Linked DNA regions of Macaca mulatta. The protein of the gene in region 2 purifies or fractionates together with the protein of the main gene of each other region. This does not show direct contact. Links are inferred from orthologs where the notes say so. Each region holds a gene or a part of one and is shown on either strand. Other genes may lie near its edges. The genes, in order: PPP1R3F, DYRK1A, RBL1, TRMT61B, EP300, KIAA0232 and ANAPC4.

Evidence for each region.
Region 1: the proteins of DYRK1A (region 2) and PPP1R3F purify together in Homo sapiens (affinity purification with mass spectrometry; 3 studies listed by BioGRID and IntAct, with this or other methods). This does not show direct contact. The link is inferred for Macaca mulatta from reciprocal best matches to the Homo sapiens genes DYRK1A and PPP1R3F.
Region 3: the proteins of DYRK1A (region 2) and RBL1 purify together in Homo sapiens (affinity purification with mass spectrometry; 3 studies listed by BioGRID and IntAct, with this or other methods). This does not show direct contact. The link is inferred for Macaca mulatta from reciprocal best matches to the Homo sapiens genes DYRK1A and RBL1.
Region 4: the proteins of DYRK1A (region 2) and TRMT61B purify together in Homo sapiens (affinity purification with mass spectrometry, with the first as the bait; 3 studies listed by BioGRID). This does not show direct contact. The link is inferred for Macaca mulatta from reciprocal best matches to the Homo sapiens genes DYRK1A and TRMT61B.
Region 5: the proteins of DYRK1A (region 2) and EP300 purify together in Homo sapiens (affinity purification with mass spectrometry; 4 studies listed by BioGRID and IntAct, with this or other methods). This does not show direct contact. The link is inferred for Macaca mulatta from reciprocal best matches to the Homo sapiens genes DYRK1A and EP300.
Region 6: the proteins of DYRK1A (region 2) and KIAA0232 purify together in Homo sapiens (affinity purification with mass spectrometry; 3 studies listed by BioGRID and IntAct, with this or other methods). This does not show direct contact. The link is inferred for Macaca mulatta from reciprocal best matches to the Homo sapiens genes DYRK1A and KIAA0232.
Region 7: the proteins of DYRK1A (region 2) and ANAPC4 purify together in Homo sapiens (affinity purification with mass spectrometry; 3 studies listed by BioGRID and IntAct, with this or other methods). This does not show direct contact. The link is inferred for Macaca mulatta from reciprocal best matches to the Homo sapiens genes DYRK1A and ANAPC4.

Annotation. Positions count from the first base shown.
Region 1 is NC_133426.1:49,355,546-49,359,045, reverse strand, and holds part of PPP1R3F (protein phosphatase 1 regulatory subunit 3F), read right to left. Parts: intron 1,504-3,500; coding exon 1,448-1,503; intron 924-1,447; coding exon 841-923; intron 1-840.
Region 2 is NC_133408.1:9,954,260-9,956,515, reverse strand, and holds the end of DYRK1A (dual specificity tyrosine-phosphorylation-regulated kinase 1A), read left to right. Parts: intron 1-721; coding exon 722-1,342; 3' UTR 1,343-1,756; downstream 1,757-2,256. UniProt on the Homo sapiens protein: Dual-specificity kinase which possesses both serine/threonine and tyrosine kinase activities. Exhibits a substrate preference for proline at position P+1 and arginine at position P-3.
Region 3 is NC_133415.1:89,931,709-89,935,208, forward strand, and holds part of RBL1 (retinoblastoma-like protein 1), read right to left. Parts: intron 310-3,500; coding exon 109-309; intron 1-108. UniProt on the Homo sapiens protein: Key regulator of entry into cell division. Directly involved in heterochromatin formation by maintaining overall chromatin structure and, in particular, that of constitutive heterochromatin by stabilizing histone methylation.
Region 4 is NC_133418.1:96,108,020-96,111,519, reverse strand, and holds part of TRMT61B (tRNA (adenine(58)-N(1))-methyltransferase, mitochondrial), read right to left. Parts: intron 1,302-3,500; coding exon 1,199-1,301; intron 1-1,198.
Region 5 is NC_133415.1:10,362,740-10,366,239, forward strand, and holds part of EP300 (histone acetyltransferase p300), read right to left. Parts: intron 1,781-3,500; coding exon 1,601-1,780; intron 1,411-1,600; coding exon 1,266-1,410; intron 1-1,265. UniProt on the Homo sapiens protein: Functions as a histone acetyltransferase and regulates transcription via chromatin remodeling. Acetylates all four core histones in nucleosomes. Histone acetylation gives an epigenetic tag for transcriptional activation.
Region 6 is NC_133410.1:6,174,698-6,178,197, forward strand, and holds part of KIAA0232 (uncharacterized protein KIAA0232 homolog), read right to left. Parts: intron 2,407-3,500; coding exon 1-2,406.
Region 7 is NC_133410.1:24,433,668-24,437,502, reverse strand, and holds the end of ANAPC4 (anaphase-promoting complex subunit 4), read right to left. Parts: intron 3,495-3,835; coding exon 3,420-3,494; intron 2,525-3,419; coding exon 2,351-2,524; intron 1,340-2,350; coding exon 1,216-1,339; intron 804-1,215; coding exon 576-803; 3' UTR 501-575; downstream 1-500. UniProt on the Homo sapiens protein: Component of the anaphase promoting complex/cyclosome (APC/C), a cell cycle-regulated E3 ubiquitin ligase that controls progression through mitosis and the G1 phase of the cell cycle.

The DNA.
Region 1 (3,500 bases), on a different chromosome or scaffold from region 2:
TCCCCTTCACAGGTCGCCAGTTTCCACCCTCGCTCTGACAGTCTATTTTCCAAGCAGCAGCCAGAGGGAGGCTGTTAAATCCTAAATCAGATCACGTCCCTCCTCCGTCCACAATGCTCTTGCAGCTCCCCCTCACTCGGAGTAAAAGCCAAAGTCCTCACCATGGCCTGTGAGGTGCCACCCAATCTGTCCTCAGCCACCTCTCTGCCCTCACCCCGCACCACTCTCCCCCTCCCTCGTTCTGCCCCCGCTGCACTGGCTTCTACACTGTCCCTCACACACGTTAGTCATGGCCTCACCTCAGGAACTTCACACTCACCTGGGATGTTCTTCCCTTAGTTATCCACGTGGCTCACTCTCTCACCTTCCTCAGATCTTCGCTCAGATCTCACTAATCACTAAAGCCTTCCCAGGCCACCCAATCTAAAGTTGCAACCCCCCCACCCAACAACACACACACACAGTCTCTCACCCACTCCCTATTCCTTTATATTTTTCCTTATCACTCATCATCACCTAAAGTACCATACATTCTATTATTTTATCATGTCTCACCCTACTAACACATAAGCCCCCTCGAAGAGCATTTTTCACGTCTGTAACAGTGCTTGGCACAGAGCAAGCACTCCATAAATTTTTGCTAAATTAACAAATGACATTTCTACAAGCCCAGGTGAGTAACTGCATTCTCCCCCTCCCCCATCGGGTTCTGAGTTTTGTGCCCTCCCTCTAACCCAGAGAGGACCCAGAACTAGTGGGCCCCACCACCCAGCCCAGCAATAGTTACACTGTGAGCCTCCTATTGGGCTGTCCACTCCAAGGCTGCAAGGACCCACTTACCTGAAGTGTCATCTGGGGCCACGGACGGAGAGGGGTGGGGGCCACCAGTGGACCCACTGACTCCTGGACATCAGGATGTTCTGCTAGAGGGAAGAGAAAGGCAGCATTGGGCAAGACAGGCATATAAGTAGGTATGGTTTTGTTAAGAAAATCTGCCATCCTAGCCAACTGGCAGTTTTGCCTCTGAAGCTTTCTGTGACAATCTAAAGCAGAGGGTGCCCCTTCATTTTTTTTTTTGAGATAGGGTCTCGCTGTGTCACCAAGGCTGGGGTGCAGTGGCACAATCATGACTCACTGCAGCGTCAACCTCCTGGGCTCAAATGATCCTCCCACCTCAGCCTCCCCAGTAGCAGGGACTACGGGTGCATTCCAGCATGCCCGTCTTGTTTTTTCTTTTTTTTTTAAGAGATGAGGTCTCACTATGTTGCCCAGGCTCCTCTTGAACTCCTGGCCTCAAGCAATCCTCCTGCCTCAGCCTCCCAAAGTGCTGCGATTACAGGCATGAGCCACTGAGCCCAGCCTTTTTCATTTTTATAGAAAGAAAAACAGTAGGAAGAAAGACATGGTAAATACAAGCTAAAACTTCCGAAGCTGGCCAATTGCTTACCCACGGCAGGGGTGTTATCATCCATGTTCTTCGTCTTCAGTTCCTCCTCAGCAGGCCTGTGGGGCAGAAGAGAGTACATGGATCTAATACCCTGAGAGGTCACTTCTGCCACCCACTGGCACCTTCTGAGCCTCTGTGCTAGCCCACCTTCACCTGACAGCTGCTGTTTTCTCTTCTGCTGCCTTTGGTTATCCCCTCATCCTAAAAGTCCTACAGCCTCCTTATAGAAAATTCACAAAATACAGAAAAGTCTAAAGAAGCAAGAAAAACAATCACACATCAGCCAGAGACAACTACTGTTACCACTCTGGAAAATTTCCTTCCAGATATTCTATGAAATCATTTAGATTCTACAGATATAATTTCACAGCTAGCTTTGTCCATTTAACAGTAAGAAACATCATTATATACTTTTGCAAACATTTCAAATGGCTGCTTAATACTCATATCATACCATCCCCTTCCTACTGAGCAGCTAGGTTCTTTCATTTAGAGGTCGCAAAGCAAACCAGCAAACAGCATTGGGCATAGTTTTATCGACACTTGTATCATTTCTTTAGGATATATTCCTGGCTGTGGAAAGAGAAAAGATAGAAGAACCCATCTTTTTGGCTGGGCGTGGTGGCTTACACCTGTAATTCCAGCACTTTGGGAGGCCAAGGCAGGCAGATCACTTGAGGTTAGGAGTTCAAGGAGTTCAAGACCAGCCTGGCCAACATGATGAAACCCTGTCTCTACCAAAAATACAAAAAATTAGCCACGCATGGCGGTGCACACCCATAGTCCCAACTAGTTGGGAGGCCAAGGCAGGAGAATCGTTTGAACCTGGGAGGCAGAGGTTTCAGCGAGCCAAGATCGCGCCATTGCACTCCAGCCTGGGGGACAAGAGTGAAACTCAGTCTCAAAAATCAAACAAACAAAAAAGGCCAGGCGCAGTGGCTCACATCTGTAATCCCAGCACTTTGAGAGGCCGAGGCAGGTGGAACACCTGAGGTCAGGAGTTCAAGACCAGCCTGACCAACATGGTGAAACTCCGTCTCTACTAAAAATATAAAAATTAGCTGGGCGTGGTGGTGGGCACCTGTAATTCCAACTACTTGGGAGGCTGAGGCAGGAGAATCGCTTGAACCTGAGAGGTGGAGAGTGCAGTGAACTGAGATCGCACCACTGCACTCCAGCCTGGACAACAGAGTGAGAGATCATCTCACAAAAATAAATAAATAAAAAATAAATAAATAAAAACCTTTTCTAAGGGCAGGCGGACAAGATTGTGAGGCAGAGGAATGCAAATGGAGACTGCGAGGGAGGTCACAGAGGCCTGGGTCCCTATGCTAGCCCTCCCATCCCCATATCAGCCTGGCAGGTCACTTCACCTCCTCACTCATAAAACATAAAACAGAGCCGCGGGGAGTCAGGATGTGCACTAAGCACAAGGCAGTCAAGAGGAATGAGGACGGACAGGTAGAAATCAGGGCCTGACACACAGCAGGGATTGAATCAACTGTAGATATTTATGGGTCTTCTTCCTCCTTCGCCAGGCCAGTCAGATCCCTGAGTGGCATAAGCCAAGTAAATTTCAGGTGGGTCCTCCCAGGGGTGGGATCTCATCATGGAGAAGTCACTGTTCTTATTCTGAAAATGAGTATCAAGTGTCTACAGATTAAGGCAAATGAGGGAAGCATTGACTAAAACATGTTCAGAGACCTGAGAGGAGCTGGGGCGACTGCCTACACCTTTTTCTTCCTAAGAGGCAATGTGACGTTCTTGATACTTCTGGCAATGGATGAAACTTTTTTTTTTTTTTTTTGAGATGGAGTCTCGTTTTGTCGCCAGGCTGGAGTGCAATGGCGTGATCTCACCTCACTGCAACCTCCGCCTCCCAGGTTCAAGTGATTCTCCTACCTCAGCCTCTCAAGTAGCTGGGATTACAGGTACCCACCATCACAGCCAGCTAATTTTTATATTTTTAATAGAGACGGGGTTTCACCATGTTGGCCAGGCTGGTCTCAAACTCCTGACCTCAGGTGATCCACCCTCCTCGGCCTCCCAATGT
Region 2 (2,256 bases):
AGAAGTGGGCATTGGCCAGGTGATGCAGACCGTTGTATCCATTTGGGATTGTTTTGTTTTTCTAAGTGCAGTGAGAAGTCATTAAAGGATTTTAAATAAGTGATTGGATTTGTGTTACGAAAAGATTGTTCCTGCTACCCTTTGGAGAAGGGCAAGGATGGAAGCAAGGAGTTCATTTAGGGGGCTGTTGTGTTAGCCTAGGCAAGAGGAGATGGTGGGGATGAAGAGAAGAGGCCAAATTTGGCATCTGTTTCATAGGTGGCCGCGTAAGTTCTTGCTCATGGGTTGGACAGAGGCATCGTTAAGCAGCTGGGTGTAGATAGTAGTCCTTTATTGAAAGAAGAAAGATGGAGAGAGGAAGGACATGAGGGATAAGTAAAGACTTCCTTTTGGACCTGCCTAGAATACTATCTGGCCTTTTTCGGGGAATATTTGCAGACCCCTAGCATAAACAGTGCTCCCAAGGTAAGACAGTGGCTAGTGAAATAGATGAACCTATTTAAGGATATAACTTTCTACAAATTGCAGCTTTCATGATGAAATTTTTTTGCCCTTGAATGTATTTGGGATGTTGTGTTATAAAACTGTCTAACACATTAAAAGTTTCAAAAACACTTAACCCGTGATTAATGTAATGCTAGTTTATGTCATCGCTTTTGATGGAAGATTAAAGCTTGGAAACAGTCCTCTGAAAAATCCTTTAAAACATCTGTTCTTTCAGGTGCGTCAGCAATTTCCTGCTCCTCTTGGTTGGTCAGGCACTGAAGCTCCTACACAGGTCACTGTTGAAACTCATCCTGTTCAAGAAACAACCTTTCATGTAGCCCCTCAACAGAATGCATTGCATCATCACCATGGTAACAGTTCCCATCACCATCACCACCACCACCACCATCACCACCACCATGGACAACAAGCCTTGGGTAACCGGACCAGGCCAAGGGTCTACAATTCTCCAACGAATAGCTCCTCTACCCAAGATTCTATGGAGGTTGGCCACAGTCACCACTCCATGACATCCCTGTCTTCCTCAACGACTTCTTCCTCGACATCTTCCTCCTCTACTGGTAATCAAGGCAATCAGGCCTACCAGAATCGCCCAGTGGCTGCTAATACCTTGGACTTTGGACAGAATGGAGCTATGGACGTTAATTTGACCGTCTACTCCAATCCCCGCCAAGAGACTGGCATAGCTGGACATCCAACTTACCAATTTTCTGCTAATACAGGTCCTGCACATTACATGACTGAAGGACATCTGACAATGAGGCAAGGGGCTGATAGAGAAGAGTCCCCCATGACAGGAGTTTGTGTGCAACAGAGTCCTGTAGCTAGCTCGTGACTACATTGAAACTTGAGTTTGTTTCTTGTGTGTTTTTATAGAAGTGGTGTTTTTTTTCCAAAAACAAAGTGCAAAGCTGCTTGAATCAGAAGGAGATTAACACACTGAACCGCTACAAGAGGGCAAAGCTGACTTTTTTTTTTTTTAACTTGAAAAGATTGCAAAGGGACATTGAAGTGTTTAAAAGAGCCATGTCCAAACCCATCTTCATGGATAGCTCAGAGGTATCCTCTTTTTGCTCCCCCATTTTAACTTGCCACATCCCAGTCATAGTGGGTTTTTTTTGTCTTTCTATTCAGCAAAAATATTCAGATGTTGGTCTTGGTCATCTGCCAACTAATTTTAAAATAAAAGGCACTGCACATAATTTGCATAAAGGGCCCATGAGGGTGTTTTTTTTTCTTTTTGTCCCCCCCACTATTTTTTTGTTCTGTTTTGTTTTGGGTGGGAGGGTGGGAAATTTGGGTTTTTAAGTCCTCTAAACACACTTGGGCACGGAAATGCAGTACTGTAAGGAAGAGGGACCTCCAGCTTCCACAAACACCATCTTCAGCTGTATGAAAGGGACGGTTGTGTTGAAGTTTGTCAGGCACAGTAAGCATGCTGAGTGGCGGGGATCAGAACTCTCCTATCTGAACCTACTGAGGATCAAAGCAGCAATTACATGGGATCCTGTGGCTCTCCTGTTGTAGAGGCCACAGGAAGATAGGATGGAACGTGACTGGTCTCCTAACCAAGGTGCACTGAGAAGCAATCAACGGGTCAGTCGTGGCCAGTCCTGGGGAGGTCTGAGTGGTGGTCTTTGGGATAACCTTTGGCCTTATGGATTTGGACTCGAAATTAGAAGAGCCTACCATTTCAGATGCAATCACTTTTGGACATGCTTTTGCAGACAGTCCTTAATGCTGAAAACA
Region 3 (3,500 bases), on a different chromosome or scaffold from region 2:
AAGCTCTTTGCAGGAATACTTTTCATAAAAAACAGACTTTCGAAAAAGTACATTCTCTTAGTTTGTATCATAATCTTTTTGTCAATTATGTAAGGATTAAGGGCTCACCTCTGCTTCCGGCTTCGCAGTAACTTTGGTGGTTCTTCATATGGATTTTGAAATATATCTAAAAAAATTGGCTCATATTTTTTGAATATTACAGTAGACACCTCAAAATTTCTCTCTAGCCTTTCTATACGTTCACGAAATTCTTGTGGTAGATTTGACATGTCCATCCACTTCTTCATTTTACTAAAAAATTGTATTAAACTAAAAAAAAAAAAGGGAGGAGAAAAAAGTCATCTTTAAAATTCATTTATATAACGGATTGAAAGGAAATATTCTATTCACGACTAAGATTCTTTATTAAAAAGCCAGACCTCCCAGGCAACATAGTAAGACCCCAACTCTACAAAAATTAAAAAAATTATCTGGGTGTGGTGGCACGTGCCTGTAGCTCCAGTTACTCCGGAGGCTGAGGTGGGAGAATTGCTTGAGTCTAGGATGTCGAGGCTGCAGTGAGCCTCGATCATGCACTCCAGCCTGGGTCACAAAGCAAGACACTGTCTCACATGAACAAAGAACAAACACCATCCCTCAAGCCTAAATTTAATTAAAAAAAAATCCTCATTATGAAACCACTTTGGTTCCCAGGATCACCAGGAGAATACAGGTTATTAATTAGTGGTCATCACATAGAGCCTTACTTCTATGGAGGGAGCAAGAGCGCCTATCTACTTCCTTTATTCTCTATATTACCTAGACAGTATTCTGCATAAAATTTACAAAGTTAATGTTAGTTAACAGATTGATAGGTTATAAAATTAGTTTGAGGAAAAACAGAAGTCTCCCAAATGGAAAGACAATTTCATTTTCCAAATGGGAATTTGATTATGAAGCACCAGATTGTTATAGGTTAGGAGTAAAACTCAAGAGTTTGAGTTCCAATGCGTGGTTCCACCACCAAAAGTAAAGGTAGCACATACTCAGAAAAAAACTTAATAGCTCTGCTGCCCAGGCTGGAGTGCAGTGGCACCATCTTGGTTCACTGCAACTTCCACCTCCTGTGTTCAGGCAAGCCACCGCGCCCAGCCCAATTCTGGGTATATTTTTTTATGTCTGTATGTTAGTGTGGTCTTAGATAGAAAACTTGCAATGTCAAAGCTCACTTAATTAAAGGTCTAGCAATATACACAGAATAATACTTGTAATTTTTTTTTTTTTTTTTTTGAGATGGAGTCTCACTCTGTTACCCAGGCTGGAGTGTAGTGGCATGATCTTGGCTCACTGCAACCTCTGCCTCCCAGCTTCAAGCAATTTTCCTGCCTCCACCTCCTGAAAGCTGGGACTACAGGCACGCACCACCATGCCCGGCTAATTTTTGTATTTTTAGTAGACGAAGTTTCACCATGTTGGCCAGGATGGTCTTGAACTCCTGACCTCAGATGATCCAACTGCCTCAGCCTCCCAAAGTGCTGGGATTACAGGCGTGAGCCACTGCACTCGGCCCTATGTTCTGATTATTTCATGTATATTGGAAAGGCTTACTTAAGTCCATTTTGCCCAGCCAATACTTATAATTTCTTTTTAAGGTGACAGAAGACATTAACAGAAAATTATCCAATGCTATGTAATATGGTTTGGATGTTTTGTCCCCTCCAAATCTCATGTTGCAATGTAATTTCCTTGGCTGGGCATGGTAGCTCATGCCTGTAATCCCAACACTTTGGGAGGGTGAGGCTGGAGGATCATCTGAGTCCACCAGTTTGAGACCAGCTTGGGCAACACAGTGAGACCTCGTCCCTACAAAAAATGTAAAAGTTAAGGCCGGGCGCGGTGGCTCAAGCCTGTAATCCCAGCACTTTGGGAGGCCGAGACGGGTGGATCACGAGGTCAGGAGATCGAGACCATCCTGGCTAACACGGTGAAACCCCTCTCTACTAAGAAATACAAAAAACTAGCCGGGCGAGGTGGCGGGCGCCTGTAGTCCCAGCTACTCAGGAGGCTGAGGCCGGAGAATGGCATGAACCCGGGAGGCGGAGCTTGCAGTGAGCTGAGATCCGGCCACTGCACTCCAGCCTGGGCTACAGAGCGAGACTCCGTCTCAAAAAAAAAAAAAAAAAAAAAAAAAAAAAAAAAAAAAAAGTAAAAGTTAGCAAAACATGGTGGTGTGTGCCTGTGGGCCCAGCTACTCAGGGAGCTGAGGCAGGAGGATCACTTGAGCCTGAGGGGTTGAAGCTGCAGTGAGTCATGAACATGCTATTGCCTGGGCAAGAGAGTAAAAGACTTTCAAAAAAATAAAAAAGAGGCCGGGCGCGGTGGCTCACGCCTGTAATCCCAGCACTTTGGGAGGCCGAGGTGGGTGGATCACGAGGTCAGGAGATTGAGACCATCCTGGCTAACAAGGTGAAACTCTGTTTCTACTAAAAATTAGCTGGGCATGGTGGCGTGAGCCTATAGTCCCAGCTACTCAGGAGGCTGAGGCAGGATAATGGCGTGAACCCAGGAGGCGGAGGTTGCAGTGAGCCGAGATTGTGCCACTGCACTCCAGCCTGGGCGACAGAGCAAGACTCCGTCTCAAAAAAATAAATAAATAAAAATAAAATAAAATAGAATAAAAAAGAAAAGTGACCTCCAATGTTGGAGGTGGGCCTAGTGGGAGGTGTCTGGGTCATCAGAGCAGATCCCTCATGAATGGCTTGGTGCTGTCCTCATGGTAATGAGTTTAGTTGTCACTCACCTGAGATCTGGCTGTTTAAAAGTGTGGCACTTCCCACCCTCAATTGCTCCTGCTCTCATCATGCAATGTGCCTCCTCCCCCTTCACCTTCCACCATGACTGTAAACTTCCTGAGGCCCTCACCAGGAGCAGATGCCAGCCCCATGCTTCCTACACGGCCTGCAGAACCCTGGGCCAATTAAATTTCTTTTTTTAAATAAGTCACTCAGCCTCAGGTATTCCTTCATAGCAATGTAAAATGTCCTAATACAGCATTCAAACTCCGGACATGCTGATTAAAATCTGACACTCTTAAGAACCTCATTAAAAGATTCTTATCAATAGCAGCAAAACATTCGTCAGATTACTAAACATTTTTTTGGCTTACAAAAAATTATGCTCCCTTACAAAGGACTTCAAAAATGTTGTTTTTTGGCCAGTGCAGTGGCTCACACCTGTAATCCCAGCACTTTGGGAGGCCAAGGCAGGTGGATGACCTGAGTTCAGGAGCTTGAGACCAGCCTGACCAACATGGAGAAACCCTGTCTCTACTAAAAACACAAAATTAGCCAGGCGTGGTGGCGCATGCCTGTAGTCCCAGCTACTCGGGAGGCTGAGACAGGAGAATTGCTTGAACCTGGGAGGCGAAGTTGCGGTGAGCCGAGATCGCACCATTGCACTCCAGCCTGGGCAACAAGAGCGAAACTCCATCTTAAAAAAAAAAAAATTGTTTTTATATTTGG
Region 4 (3,500 bases), on a different chromosome or scaffold from region 2:
AATTTCAGCATATTTCTGTCTGTAATCTTTATAAAATCTACTCAAAGAAAGTACTGTGACTATTCAACAGTTTATCATTATGTAGGGAAGAGAACACTGTACAGACAGTCAGACCACCCAAAACAACCCTGACACTCAGAGAAATTAGGTAGGCAAAGGGGTACTAATCAACTAGCATAAAAGTAACCAGAAATTAAGTGGTAGGAACATGAAAAAATGTATGTTTAATATACACCTCTTGATTTTTGATCAGACACCCACCTTCAAGCAGTACTTTTATCAACTGACAATTTTTAGAGACTTTCTGGAAAAAAAAGAGATAATTCTTCATAATGTAGCTTTTTACTTAACAGCTCTGTACTATGATTAATTTCTTTATGAACACCTACTATAATTCTTTGGTCCTAACGATGTCTAACTCTCCCCCCAGCAGCTGACAACCTCCTTCCATATTCCCTCAGGCTAAGTATTCATCTGGCACTATTATTCAACAATAACATGACAAGTACACAAGGAGGTTCCGAGCAGCACTATTTATAATATCCAACTCAAATGTCTATCAACAGTAAATGGGTAAATTGTGAAGAGAGTACTATACAGCAACTAAAATGAAAGAACTACTGCTGTATGCAATGAGTGAATCTCACAAACATAATGATGAACAAGAGTAGCCAGATACAAAGGAGTACATACTGTATGATTCCATTTATATAAGTTCAAAGGAGGCAAAACTAATCAGTGGTGATAAAAGTCACAATAGTGGTTTCCTTTGGTGATGATAAGGACTGGGAGGGGACATGAGGAGGCATCTGTGGGGCAGAGACACTCCTTACCTTGATCTGGGGAATAAGTACGAGTGGTCACTATACAAAGATTCGCTGAGGTATACACTTGCGATCTGCACACTTGTCTGTAGCTATGTTATATTCCAATAAAACGTATACTTAAGAAAAAAGCAGCAGCATTAGAGAGCATGAAGGAAACAAGACAAAGCAAAGAAAATGGAGGGAGGATCAGAAAGAGACTGACTGGAATAAATGTACAAAATGGAAAGAAAAATAGGTGCTCACATTCAGATTCTAGGAGAATGCTACCTCAATGTTAGGTATTTTCCCAAATATCCTCATAACTTTCTGTTATTATGAACAAATTGAACGTTTTCTTTGTTACCGAGATCCAGCTCAGTCCAATCTCTTACCTGCTTTGGATAAAAATAAGCTCATTCCACCAGAGCCTGAGCCAGCTTCCAAAACAGTATCACCTGGGCTGATATCCATCATCAAGAGAATCATACTAATATCCTATGATTGAAAACAGTATGGGTGACTCAGCGACCAATAAATATGTACTAAGCGCCTAGTCTTATCTTACACTGTCGAGTATGGAGAAGGGAGTGAAAAAACGAATCAGACTCTGGACCTGCCTACAGGCACTCTGCCTACAGAGTTTATATTTCACTTGATGAAATAAGAGAGATCCAAGAATCAGTTAACAAATAAGGCAACACTTCAGAATAATACCAAAATTACAGACAATATAAGTTCTTAGAACAGCAGGATGGCCTAGTTTAAAGACAAAGAGTAGACAATTTATGGGAACAATCACAAGGTAAAAACAGCTTTAAACAAAGCAGAGGTAGAATAAATACAGTTTGTTATCTCAGGAGAGATACGCAGAGAACTAAATGCCAGTATGAGGCATTAGAACTCGGCCTGATAAGCAACCAGGGTGTGTCACCAAGGTGATATAAATGGCATTTTATGAGGATTAATCTGGCAGAAGAATACAGGATCTACTGGAGAAAAATCAAGAGGCAGGAAGACCAGTTAGGAATTTACTATATAATCTCTGCATAAAATGATGAACTTCTTTTTTTTTTGGAGACGAAGTCTCGCTCTTGTCCCCCAGGCTGGAGTACGATGGCGTGATCTTGGCTCACTGCAACCTCCCGGGTTCAAGCGATTCTCCTGCCTCAGCCTCCCGAACAGCTGGGATTACAGGTGCCTGCCACCATGCCCGGCTAATTTTTGTATTTTTAGTAGAGACGGGGTTTCCCCATGTTGGCCAGGCTGGTCTTGAACTCCTGACCTCGGGTGATCCGCTCGCCTTGGCCTCCCAAAGTGCTGGGATTACTGGCGTAAACCACCCTGCCCAGCCCAAAATGATGAACTTATTTATTTTTTTTGGGACAGAGTCTCGCTCTGTCACCCAGGCTGGAGTGCAGTGGTGCAATCTCGGCTCACAGTAACCTCCGCCTCCTGGGTTCAAGCGATTCTCCTGCCTCAGCCTTCCAAATAGCTAGGATTACAGGCACCTGCCACCATGCCCAGCTAATTTTTTATATTTTTAGGAGAGATGGGGTTTCACCATGTTGGCCAGGCTGGTCTCAAACTCCTGATTTCAGGTGATCTGCCGGCCTCAGCCTTCCAAAGTGCTGGGATTACAGTCGTGAGCCAACGTGCCCGACCAAATGATGAGCTTCTCATTTAGAATTAAGATACTGTGTAACAGTGGTCCCCAACCTTTTGGGCACCAGGGACCCATTTCGTGGAAGACAATTTTTCTACAGATTGGGGAGAGGGTGATGGTTTTGGGATGAAACTGTTCCACCTCAGATTATCAGGCATTAGTCAGTCTCTTATAAGGGGCATGCAACCTACATCTGGCGCATGCGCAGTTCACAGGAGTTTGCACTCCTATGAGAATCTAATGCCATGGCTGAGCTGACAAGAGATGGAGCTCAGGCAGTAATGCTCACTACCACCGCTAACCTGCTGTGTGGTCTGGTTCCCTGTTACAGGCCATGCACTGGTACCAGTCCTCAGCCTGGGGGTAGGGGAGCTCTGCTATATAAGGAAAAAAAGGGACTATGCTAGAAATAGATTGGAGGACCCATTTGCCAAACATATAATTGGAATTGTTTTTGTTAACACAACACGAATGTTATGGATGACATTAATAAAAACTGGTTTTTTTTTAAATTTATTAAACAAATTTTTTTGGTGAAAGGGTCTCACCCTGTCGCTCAGACTGGAGTGTAGTAGTGCAACAGTAGCTCACTGCAGCCTCGAACTTCTGGGCTCAAGCCATCCTCCCACCTCAGCCTCCAAAGTAGCTGGGACCACAGGCATGTACCACCATGCCCAACTAATTTTTTTCTATTTTTTATAAAGATGGGGTCCTGCTAGGTTGGCCAGGTTAGCCTTGACCCTAGCCTCCAGGAGTCCTACTGCCTTGGCCTCACAAAGCACTGAGATTACAGGTGCGAGTGACTGCACCTGCCCCCTCACCTTTTTTTTGAGACAGGGTCTTACACTGTTCCCTAGGCTGGAGTGCAGTGGCAAGATCATGGCTCACTGCAGCCTCAAACTCCTGGGCTCAAGCCATCCTCCCATTTCAGCCTCCTGTGTAGCTGGGATCACAAGTGTGTGCCATCATACCTGGCTAATTTTTTATTTTTTGTAGAGACAAGGTCTCCCTGTGTTGCCCTAACTGGTCTC
Region 5 (3,500 bases), on a different chromosome or scaffold from region 2:
TCACAAGATACAAGATACTCATGTTTAGAGGGAGATGCAGTCAAGCAAGAAAGGAAAAGTCTTTCTTCATGACATCAGTATTTAATAAGTCAGGGACTAGACTAGATCTGGTATTGTCTTATACTACAAGGAGTCAGGGGCACACAACAGAAGACTCCTTCATTAAACTGCTTGGTATTTTAGACCCAAAGAAAAAGAGACACGTACTATTTTAATGACGAATGTTAGGTTTAAGTTTAAGAGACGGCTGGGCATGGTGGCTCATGCCTGTAATCCCAGCACCCTGGGAGGCTGAGGCAGGCGGATCATGAGGTCAGGAGATGGAGACCATCCTGGCTAACACAGTGAAACCCCATCTTTACCAAAAATATAAAAAATTAGCTGGGCGTGGTGGCGGGCGCCTGTAATCCCAACTACTCAGAAGACTGAGGCAGGAGAATGGCATGAACCCAGGAGGCAGAGCTTGCAATGAGCCGAGATCGTGCCACCGCACTCCCTCCTGGGTGACAGAGCGAGACTCCGCCTCAAAAAAAAAAAAAAAAAGGCAGGGCGCGGTGGCTCACGCCTGTAATCCCAGCACTATTGGGAGGCCGAGACAGGGGGATCACGAGATCAGGAGATCGAAACCATCCTGGCTAACACAGTGAAACCCTGTCTCTACTAAAAATTCAAAAAAAATTAGCCGGGCGTGGTGACGGGCGCCTGTAGTCCCAGCTACTCGGAAGGCTGAGGCAGGAGAATGGCGTGAACCTGGGAGGTGGAGCTTGCAGTGAGCTGAGATCGTGCCACTGCACTCCAGCCTGGCGATGCAGCGAGACTCCGAATCCAACCAAAAAAAAAAAAAAAAAAAAAAAAAAAAGACAAAGAAAGAAATTATTAAATGAGACAATGTGGGTACTCAGCACACAGGAGGTGAATGACAAATACTATTATTATTGCTATTCTTTCCTGCATTTTAGTCAAGGCTATTTACAAACATTTCTCTCTTGAAAAATAAGAAAATTTTTAGGGGATACTAACACACGGAACCCTGAAGAAATGAGGGGAACGACTAACTCATTGGTTGCTGCAAGTGAATATTAAAAAATAAAGAAAGGAAGAAAGAAAAATTATTAATAACAATGAAGAGACCAGGCCCAGGGCTTCAAGGTTAATGAAATCACATTAATGGCAACTTCTGAGGCCTAAGAGGCATGATTGCAATTCTGCCCTGGGTTTTTGGTTTCTTCATGTTATCTCCAGAACAAACGGTTTAAGAGACTCACTCTTTTTCTTTGACTGTCCTGGAGCTGGAGATGACTGGGTAGCTGAAGTACTTGGCTGATCTTCCTCCTCTTTTATTTCAGTTTTTAACTCAGTGCTTCTCTCTTCTGTTTCTGTAGGTTCCATTTTACAGTCTTCCACTTTAGACTAAAAGGTAAGAGTTTTTAGTATTCCAAAGATATCTAGTTGGGAATCAGTAGTCTGAACATCCTTTCTCATGCAAAATCTATGCCATGAGATCTAATTATCAAAGTATTTTTCTGTAATATTTTTTAAAAACTGGGTTCCTAGACTGGGGTCCTAACCAAATCAAACAGTAATTGCCCTACTCTCTCACCTCTGAAATATCCTCCGGTTGAGTATCTGCTGGTTCTGGTTGATCCACTTCCATTTTGGCCTCCATCTTCACTTCCTGGGAAGGCTGCTTCTCAGGAATGGCCTGAGAATTCACTTCTGCGCTACTAGTAGATGGAGGGTTTGACACCTGTCCTTCAATGCTTACAGCTGGCTGGGAAAGCTGGGCAGAAAAACAAGGGGAGTGGGTGACACACACACAGTGTTTGCCAATGATACAATCAGAATGTAAGGTAAGCAACAAGACAGCAGAATTAGCCACCTATTTCTTGGCTTATATTCATTCACGGTGTTTTCATTTGCTCTGCCCATTTCACCTCCTTTAATTATACTTAAGAACAGGAGAATTAAGACTTGTAAATACTGGTTGTACATCAAAGAGCCAGCAACTATTTCATTGATAACTATCATTATCTGGCAGTGTGTGGGGATTTCAAAGATGTCTGCTTCAGAGGAGCTCACATTTATACAGAAGCGAGTGAAAGAAAATAATAAAGACTGGCTATCTTTTTTTTTTTTTTTTTTTTGAGACGGAGTCTCGCTGTGTCGCCCAGGGTGGAGTGCAGTGGCCGGATCTCAGCTCACTGCAAGCTCCGCCTCCCGGGTTTTTATGCCATTCTCCTGCCTCAGCCTCCCGAGTAGCCGGGACTACAGGCGCCTGCCACCTCGTCCGGCTGGTTTTTTTTTTTTTTTTGAGACGGAGTCTCGCTCTGTCGCCCAGGCTGGAGTACAGTGGCCAGATCTCAGCTCACTGCAAGCTCCGCCTCCCGGGTTTACGCCATTCTCCTGCCTCAGCCTCCCGAGTAGCTGGGACTATAGGCGCCCGCCATCTCGCCCGGCTAGTTTTTTTTGTATTTTTTTAGTAGAGACGGGGTTTCACCATGTTAGCCAGGATGGTCTTGATCTCCTGACCTCGTGATCCGCCCGTCTCGGCCTCCCAAAGTGCTGGGATTACAGGCTTGAGCCACCGCGCCCGGCCCCGGCTAGTTTTTTTTTGTATTTTTTAGTAGAGACGGGGTTTCACCGTGTTAGCCAGGATGGTCTCGAACTCCTGACCTCGTGATCCGCCCGTCTCGGCTTCCCAAAGTGCTGGGATTACAGGCTTGAGCCACCACGCCCGGCCAAGACTGGCTATCTTTTTTGTTTTTACCTTCTCACCAGAGAAAATTTCAAAGATACAGAAAAGGAGACAATAAATATAATGATGTCCCACAGGGTGGCTGTTTGGAATCACTAGATTCTAATGAGATAACTGGCATTCTCTGTCTTTTCCCTAAGGCTTGTCATAAGAAACCTCCTAATGAGAAGTCAGTATTTTCTGGAACTACTTTGATTTTATAAAGAATAAAATCAAGCAGATCCACTGGTTCCTCTCTCATTCTGTCCCTCCTTGTCTATCAGAGGCCACGATGAACCAGTTGTCCATCAAGTACAGTACTTTATAAAATGGCTGTGACTCATGGGACTTCTCAGTTCATCAACGTGACTGAGAATATATTAGTATCGATATCAAAGTAGAAGCTTCTAAACCCTTAAAAAAAGTTATATTAATAAGGATTCAACTATTAGATAAGAATTTGGATTTTTATTATATACATAACCAACCTCTCACAAGGAAGCTACAGGTTGTTCTGGGTATATAATTCTCTCATCTTAGATAATTTTTTAACTTTGGTTAGGGCCACAGGGACTCATAAATCTGCAATTTTTTTTTTCTTTAAAGACAGAGTCTCACTCTGTCACCTAGTCTGGAGTGCAGTGGCGTGATCTTGGATCACTGCAACCTCCACCTCCCAGGTACCCACTACCACGTCTGGCTAATATTTCTATTTTTTTGTAGAGACAGGGTTGACCTGTCTCTGACCACCACGTTGGCCAGGCTG
Region 6 (3,500 bases), on a different chromosome or scaffold from region 2:
AAGACATCTGTACCAGCTATCGTCACTACATCAGAAGCTGCACACTGTAACAAGCTTCCTTTTGTGTGGCTGGGTGGTACGACTGCCCATTCCCCATCACTGTTAAAGGTTTTGAGTTCTCCATAAACTCCTCCAAGAATGAATGTGTTCTCTTTATCTTGGGCTACATCCCAGGGTTTAGAGGGTGTTGTATAATCACCACCATCCACGTTGGATAGCTCACTAGAAGCAAATGCTCTTTTCTCCAGGCTCTCTTTCTGTCCCTCCCACAGATGGTACTCTGACCTTCGCACAGCCTTATCAGGCTCCTGAAGGGTCTCCAGTTCAGCTTCAGCATCTAGACAGCAGCAGTAGTTATTTACATCTGCCGAAAACAACTCAGCATCAGTTCTTTCTATTTCTACTGTGGCCATAGAATTTGTGTCTGCCATCTTTGTCCAAATGTCTTTAATAACCCCTGAGCTGTAGCCATCTCCATGTGGACTTTCGTTACACACTTGTGTAGTTTCAAAATTTTTGTTTTCTGTTTTTTGTTCTAGCTGAATACCACAGACGGATTCTAGTTTAGATGTTTTTTTGAAAACTAATGCAGGAATCTCACCTAAAGTTCTACTGTTTTGCTGGCAAGTTTCATCTTGCAAAAAATCTAGAAGTTCTTCATCTACATAATTTGATGAGACTCTAGGAACTACATAATTAATATCTTCGGCATTAAACTGTGTGGATTCTTCAAACTGAATATTTAATGTTTCATTGTCTGAACGTGTTTCTTCTGAATGGGACCATGGACTACAAGTTCTTGTTGAAAGATTAGAACAGTGTTCATTTTCTTCAAAGGCACTATTTTTGGTCCATATTAGCAATCTAGACTGTGTTTTCCCAAGCATATTAGCACTAGAATCTGTATTTTCATTTCCCAAGTTGAGTGTTTCAAAAGAAAATGGTAAAACAGAATTACTGCATTGCACTTCAAACACTGAAAAACAAGAGTTTATACCAGATCCTTCATTAATATCTGAAAAGAGCTCTTGATTGCCAGCAAGCAGGTGTGAATTGAGCACTGTGCTGTCTAAGATGGGAGAGAGTCTAACTGGAGAGTCTCCTCCAAAACTCTCCCCATCCGCATCACCAGAGCTGGATGAACAGCACTCCCAAAACTGAGCCAGATTGCCAAGGTCCTGCAGGAATAAGCCCTCAGCACCCACGGAGCTGGTAGAATCTGTCCATATTGCACGTTCCCCTTGCAACTCCATACCATCTAACACTATGCAACATTCTGCCTCAAAATCTGTGTTCTCTTTGCTTTTTTGTCGAATCATATTCAAAATCCGACTTTCTCCTTGCATTGTTTCTGAGGCACCAGGATCCAACATGGATTGATCAATATCCACTTCATAGAAGTGCGTTAATTCTGATAGATGAATATCATCCAGGTATTTATTGTCCTCTGGTAGAGAACATAATGAGGTCCCAGTGAGGTCAATATCCTCATTTATAACTGCAGGCATTTCTACAAAATGACCATCAATGAAAGTACCTGCTGCGAGGTATGTTTTATGAAGATTATTGTTGCTGATACAAAGACCGTGCACTGATTCAGACAATTCTTCCACTGCCTCTGATGTCAGATCACTTGTGTCTTGTCTGTTTCGGTATGTGGTCTCTAGTTTACTTTTTCTGCTCAGAGGAACAAAATATTCAGCAATTGGCTCGGTGTACCACAAGGGCTCCTCTTTATACTCTGTGTCGTTTCTGTTCTCCATGTACAGGTCTTTTCCTTCAGTGCTCCCAGGATCTTTTCTCCCTATTTCTTTTAAAGGTCTCTTACCCCGCTTGCACAGCTGTTTGACAGAACCACTGCTGCTACTGCTACTACTTCCAGTATGCATGTTTCTTTCAGCCTTTTCACCATGCTTCAAAGAAAGCCTGCTTTGCCCATTCCGCCCTTTTTTGTTTCGAATCTCTCGTGCCTTGTGTCTTACTTTAACATACTTCATGGATGCTTTTAATTCTCCCTGATTCCCACTGGAACTTGAGCCTGCTTCACTGGAGCCAGAAGACCATGAGCGAGGGCGAATCTTTCCTTCAGGTTTATGTCGGATTTGCTTTTTGTACAAAGCAGGCTTTTCTTCAATTGTGCCATTACTAAATTTGCTTTCCTTCTCGTTTTTACTTTTGCTCTGGGTTTTCTCATGCACAGTGGTGGGCACTTCACTGCTTCTTTCCTTGGTGACTTCACTTTCACTGTTGCAGTCCTTAGGAGAGGAAGTATCTGTGCTAGCTGGTGGGGCTGTGGATGATGAAGAAGAGCTAGAGTAAGAACAGACTTTAGACTTGTTCCACACCGTCATGATTTCTTGCAGGCAAACTGGTTTCTCAGAAAGCGGTGGAAATGCTTCGTAGTACCTAAAAAACAGAGTAAAGAGTTCAAAAAATGAGTATACAGATTTTTTAGTTACAGTAAAACAACACTACCATCCAAAATAATGGAATATTTCATTTTAGCAGTGTCAACATTCACATCATCCAAGAATCATTAACTTTACAATAATTTATAATACAGTAAAATATGCTTCAGATTAGTCCCATGCATCAAGCACCATTTTGCTCAGCACTGTGATACGCACTGTTAAGAATACTGAGAAAATATGTAAGATGATAGTTTTTATCTTCAAAGTTTGCGTTTTAATTAAGAAGTCAAAAAGGACAAATAACAGAAGAAAGAATGCAGTCTCTTCAGTAAGCAGTATCTGAATTTGAATCTCAGCTAAGTCACTATTGCTTGCGACTTTAAGCTCATTATTTACTGCTTTGGACTATTTCTTCAACTGCAAAATGGTGATCCTATGACTTACCTCATGAAGTTACTGTGAGCATTGAAAATATATGCAGTTGAAAAGCTCAGTAGCAAATCAGTCAAGAGTATGAGCTCTAAAGCCACATTCTCTGAGGTCAAATCCTGGCTCTGCCTACTTTACTAGCTGTGTGACCTTTGGCATGTTACTTAACCTCTCCATAGCTCAGTTTCCTCACCTAAAAAATAGAGCTAGTAATATTTACCTCTCAGAGTTCTGAGGAGTAAAGGAATTAATATGCAAAATGAGTCGGAAAAGCAGCTTTTTAACCGCTAGCATACTGCCTGGCATTGAAGCAGGCCCTCAGAAACGGTAGGAATGACCACATTCAAGTATTCAGAAAGAGGATATTGGTGAGGTCTAAAACAGTTAAAGTGGGCCACAACTAAGCGTTGGAATTCCAGATTTATTCCGCAAGTTTAGTGAGTACTACCTGTGAGGCCTGAGAACCTGTGTGAGGACACGAAGGCACACGTTATGCTCACAGAATGGAGAACTAATTAGAGCAGCGATCACTAGAAACGCAGGGTACAAAAAGCCAGGGAGGCTGGTTTCAGGGGGCTTGAAAATGAGAAAGTGTTTTTGATTTGCTAGGAAACTGGGAGCCACCGAAGATTTCAGAGCAGAACAGACTGCGAAAGGAAG
Region 7 (3,835 bases), on a different chromosome or scaffold from region 2:
TCTGACAGAAAATATTAGACTTTTTCTTCACATTCAATTTGTTCACTTTCTTTCTTTTTTGAGACACAGTCTCACTCTGTCACCCAGGCTGGATGGAGTGCAATGGCATGATCTCAGCCCGCTGCAACCTCTGGCTCCCGGGTTCAACCGATTCTCATGCCTCAGCCTACCAAGTGGCTGGAATTACAGGTGTGTGCACCACGCCCAGCTCATTTCTGTATTTTTAGTAGAGTTGGGTTTTGCCATGTTGGCCAGGCTGGTCTTGAACTCCTGACTTCAAGTGAGCCACCCACCCAGACTCCCAAAGTGCTGAGATTACAGGTGTGAGCCACCATGCCTGGCCCTGTTTTCTTTAAACACTAGTTCTGTACATAGCATTAAAGAGAAATCTCAGAAAAAATAAAGTGTATCAGAGTGACTGTATCACTAAGAGAAGATGAAGCAGAATATGAAAAAATAAAATTTACTGTTTATTTCTTTGTTACACAAAGAAAATTAAAGGTGGTCCAAGACATCTTAGTCCATCTCCTATGTCCTTCTGGCCATAATTACACACACAACAATGGCAAGCTAGATTAAGAGTCTAGCTCAGGGTCAAGTTTTTCCACTTTAATGACTATCTCCGGAGCGAAAGCAGCAGCACCAGCTTGTTGGTTCTCTGTCTCTGACTCCGACAACACTTCTTCCTTTATTTTTACAGGCTTATTACCAGCCTCCTCCTCTTCATCTGAAGACTCATCGAGCTCCCATTCATCATCTATGTCCATTTCAAATACTCTCACATGACGAAGATTTGAGCTTAACTAAAAAAGAAAGGCCATAAAAGCACTTTTAAATTAATGGCTTAACTAATATATCATATATAAGGAATTAGAAATCAGAAGTCTGAATCAAAGAATGGTTTTATAGGAAACATATTCCCATCAATTTACAACAAAATCAATAAACTCAGCCTTCATTTTGTATAAAAAGGTCTCCACATAACAACAGTGGCAATTTCATGAGATTAAAATCTAGAATTATTAACTGCTTAGTAAGCTTTATCAGAACGAGAGAATAGCTAAGTCCACATGACCATAATCAATACAAGCTATAAATCACAGCAAAAATATTTGCACAAAAGGACCTTACATGTCATGTATTTGATGAAGGTTCCAAAGAAGCAATGTTACTTCTTGTAATTTCTTAGTTGCTGAACGATCTGTAAACACTTACCACACAGGATACTTTTCGAAAACCATTCCCAGCAACATACTGTGCTTTCATACTTTCCAGTAATCTCCAATGCTTCTCGAAATGCATGGTACGGGTGGGAATAGCACTACATTGTTCATCTAGCCTAAAGAGGGAAAAAACCCACCCAGGAATGAAAAGGGGATCTTCTCCTCCCTAGTTTGCTACAGGTGGTATTAGGGTCAATTATGGCTTTGACTTCTACTCATACTTCCACTTCCAATATAATTTTAGCAACTGTTGTATTAAAAAAAGAGCTGTGATATAATATTCTATAAAAATTCCATATTCTATATTCTGGCTGGGCACAGTGGCTCATGCCTGGAATCTCAGCACTTTGCAAGGCCAAGGTGGGAGGACTGCTTGAGTCCAGGAGTTCAAGGCCAGCCTGGCCAACAGAGTGAGACTCCATCTCTGTAAAAAATAAAATAAAATTAGCCAGACAAGGTGACACATGCCTGTAGTCCCAGCTATGAGAGGCTGAGGCAGGAGGGTCACTTGAGCCCATGAGTTTGAGGCTGCAATGAGCTATGATTGCATCACTGCACTCCAACCTGGGTGACAGACACAAGCTCTGTTTCAAAAAAAAAAAAAGAAAATACTGCAATTCCAAATAGGCAGAATATCATTTTAGCAAGGTTTCTGACTCCCTTTCAAGGAAAGCAAATGGATACATTTTTAAATTAGAGATCTGCTTACTTAAGTCTCAGTTAAAGCCATCTCTTGGAATTGACAGTATACTTCCCACATGGGCACTGAGGTCTTAATTCTGGAAGGAAAATACTGAAGGCAAATCAAAAATAACTAATTCCAACCAACTAGGGTTAATGCAATCCTTGAAAACGTAACTAAAAGAAGTCCCATTCTCCACTCCAAATAATTCCCCACCTTGATTCCAGCAAATACTTCCTGATTTACTAGTAAAGCGAAGGGATAAAAAAAGCTATTAAGGCCAGCATATTTTGAATGAAAAATTGGAGCACTTCTGCTCAGCTACCTCTGTGGTTACCCCTAGTAATGAAATAACCATTATCTAGCATGCCTGAAAGGTTGGAATTTACAATGTGCATTAAAAAATATTTAACTGTAATATCAAAAAGACAATTTTACCAGTTACCTTGTAGAATAAGTCCCAGTGAACTGATATTCTGCAGAATCTTCACTGTTATATACTAAAGACAATGGCAGCTGGACCAAGAGTCTATCTCTTCCTTCACGTCCTACAGTGTCTTTGAGAACTACTGTTACAGTTTCATCATCATAAAACTGTGCATCTAAACAACTGTAGATGCTAGAATTAAAATAAGTTTCGTTATATCAAAGATGATCATGACTACTGAGAAAATACTGTATGCATGTCATACTGGCAGCAAGCAGAAAAAAATTTTAAAATTAAGTGACATTCTGTACAGTAACATTTAAAATATACCATTGGTTTGTATTAAAATCAGTTATTTTTTGTACTGATTATTCACATATATAACCAAATCTTAGAAATGGGTAATCATGACCCCCCAAAATCTGTGAAGTTGTTTCAGTTCTAGAAAACCCCTGGCCATCGATGGTTAGGCCTTAAGAAATTCTATGAATGACATACAAATTAAACCTGTGGAAATTCTATGAATGACACCTTATATACATGTTCAGCAAACAGAGTTGACTAGACTGAGAAATAAAAATAAGATACTACACATGAAAAATAGGCACAGCAACTCCAAAGACTTTATCATTAAAAAAACTTCTTTTATGTGAGGAAACAAGTGAGAAAAAGATCAGCCTATGATTAGTCACTTCTTTCCCTTGCGAAGTCTCAGGGATGGCTTAGGTACTGTTACCCTTTTGAATCCTAAGAAAATCTCCCATCACTGAGAATGGCATCACCTCATAATTTTTTTGGTCATAACAAGAACTTCAGTCCCGCAGGCCATCTGCCCACGGGAACCACATTACTTTCTTTGTCAACAGGGAGCTCGGGAGTAATTATACGAAACCATATGACATAAACTGCAGGGCAGTAAGGTTCTATTCAATCACAAGTCAAATCATTCTCTATGTATAAATACACAAAGAATCCTGCCCTCGATGTGGGAAGTGACAAAGCCCTTTTACCTATATTATCACCGTAACCGATCTGGCCCGATTCCTAAACATATACACACATCACTCAAACAAGATTCAAGACTTACCTTCTTCTGACTTTCTCCGTTGTGGCATATGTAAAGCTCCCAAATTTAATAGCAATTAGTCCATTACTCACGGATCTCCAAGAAAGAAGGGGGGAAAAAAAGACTCAGTGGAACAACCTGGATAGTCAATAATCCAAACACTTAAAAGAACATGATTGTCAGGGTCAGTACATTTACTTCTCTAGAACACTGAGAACTGGTTTAAACGCCTAGACAGATAAACCAACTTGGTTTAAAATCATACAGTCACCAAAGTAAACAGATTTATCCAAAGACATTTGGCATTTGGAATAGAAATAACCAAATTCTTTCTTTTTGGTTACATCTTGGTCTCAACATTTTCTTCAAATTCGGATTTAAAATCATTTTTAAGATACCAATGGCATTCTAAATATGATTTATTTTTCAGAACTTCT